Ovis aries: one gene and its partners. The protein of the gene in region 1 interacts with the protein of each later gene in a pairwise test. Links are inferred from orthologs where the notes say so. Each region holds a gene or a part of one and is shown in the gene's direction. Other genes may lie near its edges.

The links.
Region 2: the proteins of MAD1L1 (region 1) and LGALSL interact in binary tests that used the Homo sapiens proteins (3 or more experiments, as listed by UniProt). The two-hybrid records come from large-scale screens. The link is inferred for Ovis aries from reciprocal best matches to the Homo sapiens genes MAD1L1 and LGALSL.
Region 3: the proteins of MAD1L1 (region 1) and RNF8 interact in binary tests that used the Homo sapiens proteins (3 or more experiments, as listed by UniProt). The two-hybrid records come from large-scale screens. The link is inferred for Ovis aries from reciprocal best matches to the Homo sapiens genes MAD1L1 and RNF8.

What each region holds. Positions count from the first base shown.
Region 1 is NC_056077.1:41,374,226-41,377,748, forward strand, and holds part of MAD1L1 (mitotic spindle assembly checkpoint protein MAD1), read left to right. Parts: intron 1-634; coding exon 635-814; intron 815-819; exon of another isoform or gene 820-2,846; intron 2,847-3,174; coding exon 3,175-3,299; intron 3,300-3,523. UniProt on the Homo sapiens protein: Component of the spindle-assembly checkpoint that prevents the onset of anaphase until all chromosomes are properly aligned at the metaphase plate.
Region 2 is NC_056056.1:43,853,328-43,857,560, reverse strand, and holds the start of LGALSL (galectin-related protein), read left to right. Parts: upstream 1-1,415; 5' UTR 1,416-1,764; coding exon 1,765-1,800; intron 1,801-1,910; exon of another isoform or gene 1,911-2,083; intron 2,084-2,535; coding exon 2,536-2,607; intron 2,608-2,752; coding exon 2,753-2,841; intron 2,842-4,072; coding exon 4,073-4,233. UniProt on the Homo sapiens protein: Does not bind lactose, and may not bind carbohydrates.
Region 3 is NC_056073.1:11,303,688-11,307,648, forward strand, and holds the start of RNF8 (E3 ubiquitin-protein ligase RNF8), read left to right. Parts: upstream 1-1,150; 5' UTR 1,151-1,258; coding exon 1,259-1,369; intron 1,370-1,462; exon of another isoform or gene 1,463-1,730; intron 1,731-3,961. UniProt on the Homo sapiens protein: E3 ubiquitin-protein ligase that plays a key role in DNA damage signaling via 2 distinct roles: by mediating the 'Lys-63'-linked ubiquitination of histones H2A and H2AX and promoting the recruitment of DNA repair proteins at double-strand breaks (DSBs) sites, and by catalyzing 'Lys-48'-linked ubiquitination to remove target proteins from DNA damage sites.

The sequences.
Region 1 (3,523 bases):
TGCCTTTGCCCCTGGGACTCTGGCTCCCACTGTGTGGCCCCTTAGCTTCTTGGGCTGAGGGTAAGCTCTGGCCGACACTGGAACCTTTGGACCTCCGGGGATCGTTAGAGTGAGGAGTCTGAGTTCTGCATCTGCCTTTCGGGGCGAGCCACATGGCCTGGCGGGAACCAGTGCAGGGTGGCTCTGAGGCTTTGTGGGAGCCGAGGCCCAGGGTCAGGCGCTCCTGTCTGCGGGCTCCTGCCCGTGCCGCCTGTTGCTGCCTGGCCCCCTGCTCTCTGGGGATAGCCGGCTGGTCGTGACGGTAGCCTGTGTGTGACCAGGAAGCTGCTGGGCTCCAGGCTCAGAAGCTTCTTCCCAGGGTGGAGTCTGAGTGAGATCTCTGTGCTCCATCCCCTCCCATGCGCAGCGGTCAGTGACGGGGGTGGTGCGTGCCACGTGCCGTCCCGGGGGGCCGCTGTGAGGCGTGCCTGTGTGCTGCGGGGCGTGCGCTCGCCTTGGAGGGGTCCCGGCTCCAGCCCTGGGGCGGCTGTGGACTTGACGACCGGCCTCCTGGGTTCAGCTCTGCTTGGCTCTGCTCTGGGTCTTGGAGCCTGCCTGCGTAGGCTCCCCTCACCAGGCCCATCCTTCTTGGCAGCGCGAGATGGACCGCAACCAGGAGCTCCTGGCGCGCATTCGGCAGCTTCAGGAGCGGGAGGCAGAGGCGGAGGAGAAGATGAAGGAGCAGCTCGAGCGGCACAAGCTGTGCCAGCAGAGCCTGGACGCGGCCGGCAGGAAGCTGCGGGAGAAGGAGGACGGCCTGGCCGAGGCCGGGGAGGTGAGGGGCCGCGGCGGAGGCGCCGCTTCTCGGGAAGAGTGGAGCGGTCCCGCCCCAGCTGTGGCTGCAGACTAGTGTCCCTGGTTGGTTCTGTTCTGCCTGCATTTTTTGCAGAGGTGTGATCATAGTAAAAATACTAATTTTCCATTCTGTGGTTTTCAGTTAATAGGGTGAATGCTTTTTTAGTCTTTGTAATTATGATTTTTAGTGGTTGATTAATCCATTTTCAGTCACCTTCAGGGGTTCTTTTTATACACACACATCTTGGTACAGATACACTTGGGGCGCATAGCTTCGCGCGCATCCCCGTTTTGTCTCTGTGGAATGGCTCCATTTGGACAGAGCCCAGGGGTTTGTGGGATAGTGTTACACGACCGCCAGCCACGGGCCTCCTCCTGGCCTTTGCTGCCTGTTGCCCTGCTCTGTCAGCGGATGTTGCCGAGGGCTCTGCTTTCCCTGTAGCCGCCCCTGTTACGGGTGGAAATACTTGTCCCCCCTCCCCAGAAGATGTAAGTAGCTGCCTCTGGATTTCCATGTCTTTGATTATTAGCATCTGAGAATCTCTGTGGAGCCAGAACATGGATGAACTGGAGTCCTGTCTCCACCAGCTGAAGGCTGGATGCATTTTAGAACCAGGGCCCGAACATTGCTGGTGGTACAGCTGGGACTGCCGGCCTTTCCTGCCCCTCCCACGAGCCGCTCAAGGTCACAGGTGCCGTGAGGGACCGGAGGAGACGCTGCCGAGGGGCCTGGGGTCACTGGTGCTCTGCCTCTGCGTAGGTTTCTCTGCTTGGTAGATCTTGGGAGCGGGCTCCAGCTTATTCTGCCTTGGCCACGCTGGAGAGCCTGTTACGGTTGTCCCTACACCTGTCCTCTGATGTGGATGCTGGCGGAGGGGCGCCGTGACGCCCTTGAGGCAAGCCCGCCCCTGCCCCAGTGTGCGCCTCCCTGTGCCCCCTGCAGGCGGGGGCGGGGGCAGGGCCGGGGTGTCCTGCACGTGGCTTCGTGACGGGCAGAGGCTGCAGAGCGGGCGGCGCTGGGCCCTGGCAGGGCGCAGGCGGTGGCGAGTGGGGACGGAGCCTGCTGCTCTCACGTCTCACTCCCCTGGAGAAGCGGCCCCGTCCCCGGTCTGAATCCAGGGCTGTAGACCCCCCGCCCACCCCGCCGGCCCCCTGTGTTTCCTTGTCACGGTGCCTGGTGTAGACGCTTGCGCTCTGCGGTCATCTTGCCAATGGCTGGGCTTCCCCTCAGCTTTGTCCTCCGTGGGGCGGGTGTCTGATCGCAGCATTCAGCACTACGCCTGTCTGTCTAATTCGGGAAGAGTTGTCAAAGGGCATATTTATTGTCACACAGATTCAGTACGTTCATTCTTTGTTGAGTCCCAGATTGATTGTTGTAGTAAAGGGATCCACGCAGGATGTTAGGAGGGCAGGCCCCAGCCCCTGGCCCTGCCGTCAGCCTCTGCGGGGCCTGTGGGGGGCCGCGTGGGTGCACTTGCGCTGCCCTGGCTGGGCGGGTGAGGCCTGCTGTGGCCGCCGTGCCTGCTCGGCGCCCCTGCAGACGTTGCTCACGTGCCGAGTTCGCCGGTCCGCCCTCTTGCCCCCAGCCTGTAGGTTGCCGACTGGCCGTCAGGCTGACGGGGTGAGGTTTCCCTTGTTACCTTAGAGTGGTGCGCCTGCGGGCTGGCTCTCCTGTTGGAGGTGTGGCCTCTTGCCTCGGGACAGCCACAGTGGAGCTCCATCACCGGAAGGTTGTCCGGGGAGGCTGTGGTCCGTGCCCGTGTCTGCCTGGTGGGCTCACTGTCCCAGGGCTGGGCCGTGGGCCAGCCCGACGCTGCCTTCCTCAGCGACCACGTCTGGCCTGGGCACGCGTCAGGCTCTGCGGTCCTCGGGGCGCTCCCGTTCGTCCTGAGGACCGCCTCCGCCCCCGCTCCTGTGTTCTTGGCAGGCGCCTGGGTGCTTCACCGGTGGCATCTCCTGCAGAGCTGGGATGGGGCAGTTGGAGAAGGAACCCGGGCTGAGAGTGAGAGCAGGTGTGGGGGGGGGGTGTGCGGCGCTGCCGAGGACCGGGGCTGCGTGCATGCGGCGGGAGGGGCGATGGAGCAGGTGCGGGGCCGCCCAGTGCGGTTGCGCCTGTCGCGGCCAGCAGCGTCCTCATGCCTGAGGCCGTCTGTCATCGTGGCTTGGCTCGAGGGGTGGTCACGGGCTCTGAAGGAGGAGCTGGCTCTGTCCGGGCCCTCAGGAGCGGGCTGGACGGGGGCTGGCTCTCGGGAGAGCGTTGGCCCCTGAGTCTCCGTGTGAGAGGCTCCCCTCCGTGCCTGTGCCGGAGACGAGGGTGAGTGGCTTGCGTTTCGCTTTCAGACCATCACCGCGTTAAAGGGGAGGCTCTCGGACCTGCAGTGGGACGTGATGAACCAGGAGATGCAGGTGAAGCGCCTGGAGTCTGAGAAGCAGGAGCTGAAGGAGCAGCTGGCCCTGCAGCACCAGTGAGTGGGGGGTGGCAGGGCTGCCGACTTCCAGGGCAGGCGTCTTTCCCCGCTGTGCCAGGCGAGCCTGGCCATCTGTCCTCCTGGATGCCTTCGGCCTGAAGCTTGCTGGGGCGGGCACTGAGCTGGACATCCACTTGTTATCTGGGCACAAGAACCAGGCTCGCTGTCCTGTGTGTGGCCTCCGTGGCCTGAGCGCCCAGTGCCCACGAGTGTCACGTGCA
Region 2 (4,233 bases), on another chromosome or scaffold:
CTAAGACTGGTAAACAAGAGCAAAAGTGTGAGTCACAACTGTGTTGCCCTTCAGTCTCAAGTTCAGAGCACACAAAGGGTATGACTGTGGCTTACAGTCGTGTGCAGGTAATTCTCCCTACTCAACTGAGATTACCATGATTAGCTCTGGTCCATAAAGGGAAAGCTAAGACACAAAGCCTCAGTGATGTTCCAGGCCACACAGTCAGCAATCATGGCAGGAAAGGAGTCTCTGAGGGCCCCTCTGAGGTCACACATGTTCTCTGATTATTAAGTATAAAACACCAGGGTGATGCACACAATGGAATGTTTAAGCCAAGACGTCACCGAATACAGGGTATGTTGATACAGCTTTAGCGGAGAAGTTACATAATCGTCCTAATGTGGAAACACCATAAAGGAATTTGTGACTTGGAATGAAGAGAGCTGCACTCCCTGGGAATCACTCCTCAAGGGGTATCAGGAGATGTTCAGTGAGAAACCCACTCCCCTAGATTGGGCTTCTCCGGTGGCTCAGAGGTTAAAGCGTCTGCCTGGAATGCGGGAGACCCGGGTTCGATCGCTGGGTTGGGAACATCCCCTGGAGAAGGAAATGGCAACTCACTCCAGTGCTCTTGCCTGGCGAATCCCATGGAGGAAGGAGCCTGGTAGGTCACAGAGTCGGACACAACTGGGCGACTTCACTAGATTGAGCAGGTGACTTGTAAAAAACAAACAAAACAGCCCAACGAAGGCCTTCTGAGGGCAGGCACTGTGCCCAGTTCAATTTAATGAGATTTAACCAGGCCCCTGGCTAAAAACAGTCTCCAGGGACCCCCATCTTTTCGCAGGGAAGGGAGGTCTATTCTATATTCAGCCTTCCGTTATATAAAAGTCCCTACTCCGAGTCCTCTCTGCCTCTTGCTTTTAGGTCAAATATTTATTTATGCAAGCCCAGAGGCCTTTCATTATCTTTGTACCCTGGAAGGCTCGAAATGAATCTTTTCTCGCACTGCGCTGAAATTCTTTGAAAGAAATCTCGAGCTCTGGAATCCACCTCCACCTCCAAATCTTCCTGGATCTCAGTCTCCACTGTCCCACCTGCCCCCAGGCGCAGCCAGAGTAGGAAGGGGGTGGCCGGAGGGGAGGGGCGGGGATGTCACAAGCACCTGTCACCTGGCAGGCCCCGGCCTCACTTCCTCACCCCCGGCCCCACCCACCCTGCCGCAGGAGAGGACCGACCAGGCGCCCGCCCCCTCGCACGCCCCGACACTGGCAGGCCAGTCCCTCCCGCCCCAGCCTCCTGCCGCCGTCCAATGGCCGAGGGGCAGGGCAAGCTGAGCAAGCCGCGGCAGCCCAGCCGGGTCTCCGCCCTGTTCCCGGTTCCCGAGCCGGGCCCCGGCGGCCTTTAAATGCCACCCTAGGCCGACACGGCGCGGCCCTCGCCACCTTTTTCCTCGGGCGACGGTAGCGGCACCCCGAGGAAGAAAGCAGCTTAGACTCTGCAGCTCCGTCCCGGCCGCGGCAACCACCTCCGACCTCCGGGCCCGCGCCGCCTCCCCCGCCTCCCCCCGTCCCCCCTCCCCCAGGCGCCGCTGGCCCGGTCGGCGCCGGGCCCCCGGGCGTGCGCGCGCGCGTACCCGCGCGTGTGTGCGCGCCCCAGCCAGCCTCGGACCCGCGCCCCCGCCCGGCGCAGGACCGCCCCGGGATCCCCGCCCGCGCGCCGCGTCCCACGTCCCACGCCGCCCGGCCGCCAGCCGCGCACCCCGCCGCGCTGCGCGAGAAGATGGCGGGGTCGGTGGCCGACAGCGATGCAGTGGTGGTGAGTGCCGGCGAGGCGCCCCCTTCCCGCGGCCCGCACGGCCCCGCCGCTGGCTCCCGCCTGGCGGAGGCCCAGCCCCGCGCCCCCGGCGGGAGACGGCGCCCCAGTACCTGGTTAGAGGGAGCCGGCTGTGCGCGACCGGAGTGGGGGGAGGGCTGGAGGGGTGCCCCGCGGGAGGACTGCTGGCTGAGTGGAGGTGTTAGGGGCGGCCTGCGCGTGGGGGTGAGCTACAGCCCACTCCGCGCCGTGCAGACACCGGCCAGGTGTGAGTGTGCGCGGTTGTGAGTGTGTCCGGCGCGCGCGCCCCTTGTCCGCTCCCCCAACCCCCACGGCATCCCGGGGATTCCCCCTTGGAAATGGGTCCTAGCCTGGGGCTCGCGGGAGAAGTTGAGCGCGGCTGCTGCACTCCAGCCACATCCTGGAGTCCAGGCCTGGGCGACAGGTTCTAGGGGCGTTTGCGGTTGGAGAGGAGCCTGCCTTCCTCCGGAGCGGGGCTCTGGTTCCCCAGTGGGCCTCGACCTTCATTTTGATCTAGATCTGAAGGGTCTGGGGAGCATCAGAGGCTTAGCTACCTGATAGAAAGGACGGGTTTGGTTCCGGGGTTTTCTGCGGGTAAGCCTCTGTTGTGGGGAGGATTGCTGGATTCCTCCAGATTTGTATAGGTTCTTCCCTGCTCCCGCTAACACCCACCTCCGAAAGCCTTTGGAAAGCCAATCTGTGTGCTTCTATTTTTAGAAACTAGATGATGGGCATTTAAACAACTCCTTGGGCTCGCCAGTTCAAGCCGACGTGTACTTCCCACGACTGGTAAATGATTTTGTTCCCTCTTCGGTGTCTGCCTGTACCCTCTTGTTTCTAATTGCATTTTTAAATGGGTCAAGTCCTAAGGAACTGAGGGCTTGGCTCTTCCCTAACAGGCTGTGAACTTTGTTTCTGCTCTCATCCTCTACAGATCGTGCCATTTTGTGGGCACATTAAAGGTGGCATGAGACCAGGCAAGAAGGTGTTAGTGATGGGCATTGTAGACCTCAACCCAGAAAGGTAAGGCAGATTCCTTGTCTCCTATGATGCTGTCAAAAATTTTGGGTTTCTCTGCCCACCCAAGCCAAATGAAAAATACGGAGACAGAGTTTGGAGAAAATAAAAGGGTGGCTTTAATCCTCAGCCAGAGGAGGGGAGAAACAGCAGGCTAGAGCCTCAAGAACTGTATGCCCCTCCCATGAGGAATTGGCGGGGGGTGGTGATTATATAGATGAAGGGGTCAGTGATGAGGAACAAAGGTGTGAAGGTCTTGTATTCTTCTTCCTTTTGTATCATTTCAAAAACAGACTGGCCATCAGGTAGCCCAGTAGTTGGGTCCATTGTCTTGCATGAATTGTACTATGGCCTCCTTTCTGTAGTGCAAAAAGAGAGGAAAAGAACTATGAGGGGGTCGTCTGCAAAGAGAGTGCTGTAAAGGTGAGCCCCAGACAGAGTGTGATCTGCATACCAGGTTAGTCTTGATTACCTACTACAGATCAGGAACAGTTAAAAGTGAAAAAAAGAGCTCAGAAAAGGGCAAGAGAAAAAACAAAACAACTTTTTCCTCTTTTTTCACTACAACACTTATACCTATCCAGCAGTTACAAGGTCCTGCCTCACTCTTGTAGCTTTCTGCTGCCCTTCCAACCCCTGTGGCCAGTGTTACTGGTTGCAAGTGCCAAGAAAGTACTATGTTCCCATGAAAAGAATGTGTATGAATCTCAGTGGCCATTTCTCTAGACAGCTATTTATATCAGAGATTATAAATATAGACCCACATCATTTTCTCTTTGACCCTTAGGGAGGCCAAAGGACTTTTTTAAAAAAATGTTTTTCAAACACAGTGCTTGGAGTAAGAACTATCAGTATAAATGAGAACCAAACTACAAGATATTGTTTCCCTTGGTCAGTTTCCCCTGGCTGTTTTTGAGTCTTCTGAAATGGGTTAAAACACAGATGTGTGGGTAGTTTGGAGTATCTGAAATATCCACAGTTAGTTATTTTCATCTCTATCAAAGTTTTCTCCAGGGCCACCTCCTGTGGGTAACAAAATTAGCTAGTTTGATTGTAATTCTACTTATCCATGGTCTTGTCACCTACCCCCCCCTCCCCCGCCCCACCGCCGCCCTGTGGAGAGTAGTGGCCCACTAAAAGCTGACCAATCCAGAGAGGAAGAAGGAAATGGGAGCCTGGGTCTTTGTTAAATGTTATTTTGCTCAACCGTGAATAAATGAGATGATTTTCTTTTCAGCTTTGCAATCAGCTTGACCTGTGGTGATTCAGAAGATCCTCCCGCCGATGTGGCAATAGAACTCAAAGCAGTGTTCACAGACCGGCAGCTACTCAGAAATTCTTGTATATCTGGGGAAAGGGGTGAAGAACAGTCAGCGATCCCTTACTTCCCATTCATCC
Region 3 (3,961 bases), on another chromosome or scaffold:
GGCGGGGAGGGGGAGAGTGGCGGGGGAAGGGTGAGTCACCCGGCTACACTTGCAGGATTTTTTTTTTTTTTTTTTTGCAGATCTTAATTCCCCAACGTCTAGTCAAGGCTATGGTTTTTCCAGTGGTCATATATGCATGCGAGATTTGGACTGTGAAGAAAGCTGAGCGCCGAAGAATTGATGCTTTTGAACTGTGGTGCTGGGGAAGACTCCTGAAAGTCCCTTGGACTGCAAGGAGATCCAACCAGTCCATTCTAAAGGAGATCAGTCCTGGGTGTTCATTAGAAGGAATGATGCTAAAGCTGAAACTCCAGTACTTTGGCCACCTCATGCGAAGAGTTGACTCATTGGAAAAGACTCTGATGCTGGGAGGGATTGGGGGCAGGAGGAAAAGGGGACGACAGACGATGAGATGGCTGGATGGCATCACAGACTCGATGGACGTAAGTTTGCGGGAACTCCGGAATTGGTGATAGACAGGGAGGCCTGGCAAGCTGCGATTCATGGGGTCGCCAAGAGTCGGACACGACTGAGCGACTGAACTGAACTGAACTGAATTCCCCAACAAGGGACTAAATTGAGGTACCCTGTCAGTGAAAGCGAGGAGTCCTAACCAATAGGCTGCCAAGGTATTCCTTTCTTTTTTAATATTTTTTTTCCAGTCTAAGTTTTAAAAAAATAGTTAAAGGAGATGGTGCAAAAGAGGTGCTATTTAAAGCAACTTTAATAGATTTAAAACATCACAAGTTAAAAGTTGTTTAATAGTAGGTCATAATTTTAAACAACTTAGAAAGCGTTATAAAGCAAAATCTTTAAAAAAGGAGGAAAAGTGAGAAGAGACTCCAGTTTGGGGAGGCTAAGACTGGGGTAAGAGTTCTACAAAGGGTGGGCAAGGTGTGACAGGAGCATTAGAGTGCCTGGGGCGGGGGCGGGGGGCAAATGCCGCACCTTGGGCTAGACCACCCTCACCTGGCCTAGACCACCTCACCTGGCCTAGACCACCTCACCTGGCCTAGACCACCTCACCTGGGCCATCGGCCGCCAAGCGCCCTCCTCTCGCGCAGGCGCAGTGACTCCCGCTTGCTGGCCGGGGCGGGCTGGGGGCGGAGCCCAAGCGAACATTCACATCGATCGTGAGTCCGTAGCGACTGCTTCTGTCTGTGGTGTAGGTATGGCGCCCGCGAGGAAGCCGAGAGGCGGCGGGAACCCACGTCAGGGTCCGGCCTTGTGCTGACTGCGACCTTGGTCCGAGTGGACTATGGGGGATCCCGGCTCCCTGGTCACGGAAGGCCGCGCGGGTGAACGGAGCTGGTGCTTGCGGCGAATAGGGATGAACGCCGAGTGGCTGCTGCTGGAGGATGGCAACGAGGTGAGGGGGAGGGGTCTTCTTGAGGCGAGGGAAGGGGGTTGGAGGAGGCCGGGGTCCCAGGGCCGCCTTGTGTCCGGGCGGGAGGGATGAACCGGAAGGAGTAGGTGGGAGAAGTAGAGGAGAGCGGTGAGGGGTGGGTCCTGGAGCAGGGAACGGAGAAAGGCGCCTGGTGCGAGCGGTTTGGGGGCGGCGGCGGGGGGGCGGTCTCAGGTGGGAGGTGTCTCAGGTGAGAGGTGTCCGGGGGAAGTAGGGCCGTGCGGGAGAAAAGATGGCCCCTTGGACGGCGCCCTAGGCCCGAGGGCCGAGCTGGGCCAGGTGTCTGGGTTGCGGGAAGGAGCCTGGTCGAGGGGCAGAGCGAGAGGTGAGCGTAGAGGCTGTGAGGACTGCTGGGGTTTCTAGGGGAAAGGAGGCGACTGAGTCTCACGGAGCGCGACGGCGCCCGCTCGGGTGGCAGAACTGGGAGGCGGAGCTGCCCGGACTTCCGAGAGTCACGGAGCTGCCCGGGGTCTGAGGGGGAAGCTCGGAGGACTGCTGAGAGAGGAAAGTTTCTCAAGTTTATTTTGAAAACGATTGCGAGTTTGGGGTAGTGTCCCTTAAAATACCCAGGCTTTAACTTAAAAGTGCCTTTTTCTTTATCAGTTCGTGAGAATTGGCGCTTTGATGTGGGCCACAATTCTGTGAGTCTCAGTACTGCCCATTGGCACCTTCTGGGTTGGGGTAGGGCTTCAGAAATATGAGAATTCTCTCCCTAGGCCGTTTATGACGTTCTCTGATGCTGTCATAAATGCAAAACAAAAACACTTGAGAGGTGAGGCACGGTTTCAGTTGGGGGCGGCTAGGACTGGGGTCGGAGAAGGCAATGGCACCCCACTCCAGTATTCTTGCTTGGAAAATCCCATGGATGGAGGAGCCTGGTGGGCTGCAGTCCATGGGATCGCGAAGTCGGACACGACTGAGCAACTTCACTTTCACTTTTCACTCTCATGCACTGGAGAAGGAAATGGCAACCCACTCCGGTATTCTTGCCTGGAGAATCCCAGGGACAGAAGAGCCTGGTAGGCTGCCATCTCTGGGGTCGCACAGAGTCGGACACGACTGAAGTGACTTAGCAGCAGCAGCAGGACTGGGGTGGTGGTTTTACAGAGGATGATGGAAGAGAGGGAAGAGAGAATGCAGTCTACTTGGAAAGGATGGCTAGATCAGGGACCATTTTGGGGGTGACTGGGAACCGTTTTGGTTTTGGAAACAGTTGTGTGAAGGGCAAAGAGGTCTTTAGGTAATTTTGTATGTTTAATTAAATTTTTCCTATAAGTTAGGTAATCTCGGTTCAGTCTCTTGGGTATTTATTGAGTACTTACATTGTTTGGTGTAGTAGGAGAGGGATAAAGAATGAGTTCTACTCTCAAAGAGTTCACTGCTTGAATGGGAAAAGGAGGATTTTATACAATGAAGCAATTTGAGAACATCCATGCAGAGGCTAATCAAGTGCCAAGCTGTGGTTTATTTAGTATTAAGGAAAAGAAGGCAGCACGGTTGTCTGAGAAGGCTTTACAAATAGATGAGAAAAGGAGAGAATCAAAAGGCAAGGGAGAAAGGGAAACAAACACCCAACTGAAGGTAGAGTTCCAGAGAATAGCAAGGAGAGATAAGAAAGCCTTCTTAAGTGATCAGTGCAAAGAAATAGAGTAAAACAATAGAATCGGAAAGACTAGAGATCTCCTCAGAAAATTGGAAATGTCAAGGGGAACATTTCATGCATGGATGGGCACGATAAAGGACAGAAACAGTAAGGACCTAACAGAAGAGATTAAGAAGAGGTGGCAAGAATACACAGAAGAACTATACAAAAAAGGTCTTTATGACCCAGATAACCGCAACAGTGTGGTCACTAACCTAAAGCCAGACATCCTGGAGTGTGAAGTCAAGTGGCCATTAGGAGCATTACTACAAACAAAGCCAGTAGAGGTGACAGAGTTCCAGCTGAGCTATTTCAAATCCTAAGAGATGATGTTGTAAAAGTGCTGCCCTCAATATATTAGCAAATTTGGAAAAGTCAGCAGCCACCACAGGACTGGAAAAAGTTAGTCTTCATTCCAGTCCCAAAGGACAGTGCCAGAGAATGTTTAAACTACTGTACAGTTGCACTCATTTCACATGCTAGCAAGGTAATGCTTAAAATCCTTCAGCCTTACATGAACTGAGAACTTCCAGATGTACCAGGTAAATTTAGAAAAGGCAGAGGAACAAGAGATCAAATTTCCAGCATCCGTTGGATCACAGAGAAAACAAGGGAATTCCAGAAAAACATCTACTTCTGATTCACTGACTATACTAAAGCCTTTGACTGTGTGGATCTGTGGGAAATTCTTAAAGAGATGGAAATACCAGACCACCTTACCTGTCTCTTGAGAATCCTGTGTACAGGTCAAAAAGCAACAGAACCTGATGTGAAACAACAGACTGATTCAAAATTGGGAAAGTAGTACATCAAGGCTGTATATCATCACCTTGTTTATTTAACTTATATGCAGAGGGCATCATGCAAAATGCTGGGCTGGATGAATCATAAGCTAGAATCAAGTTTGCTAGGAG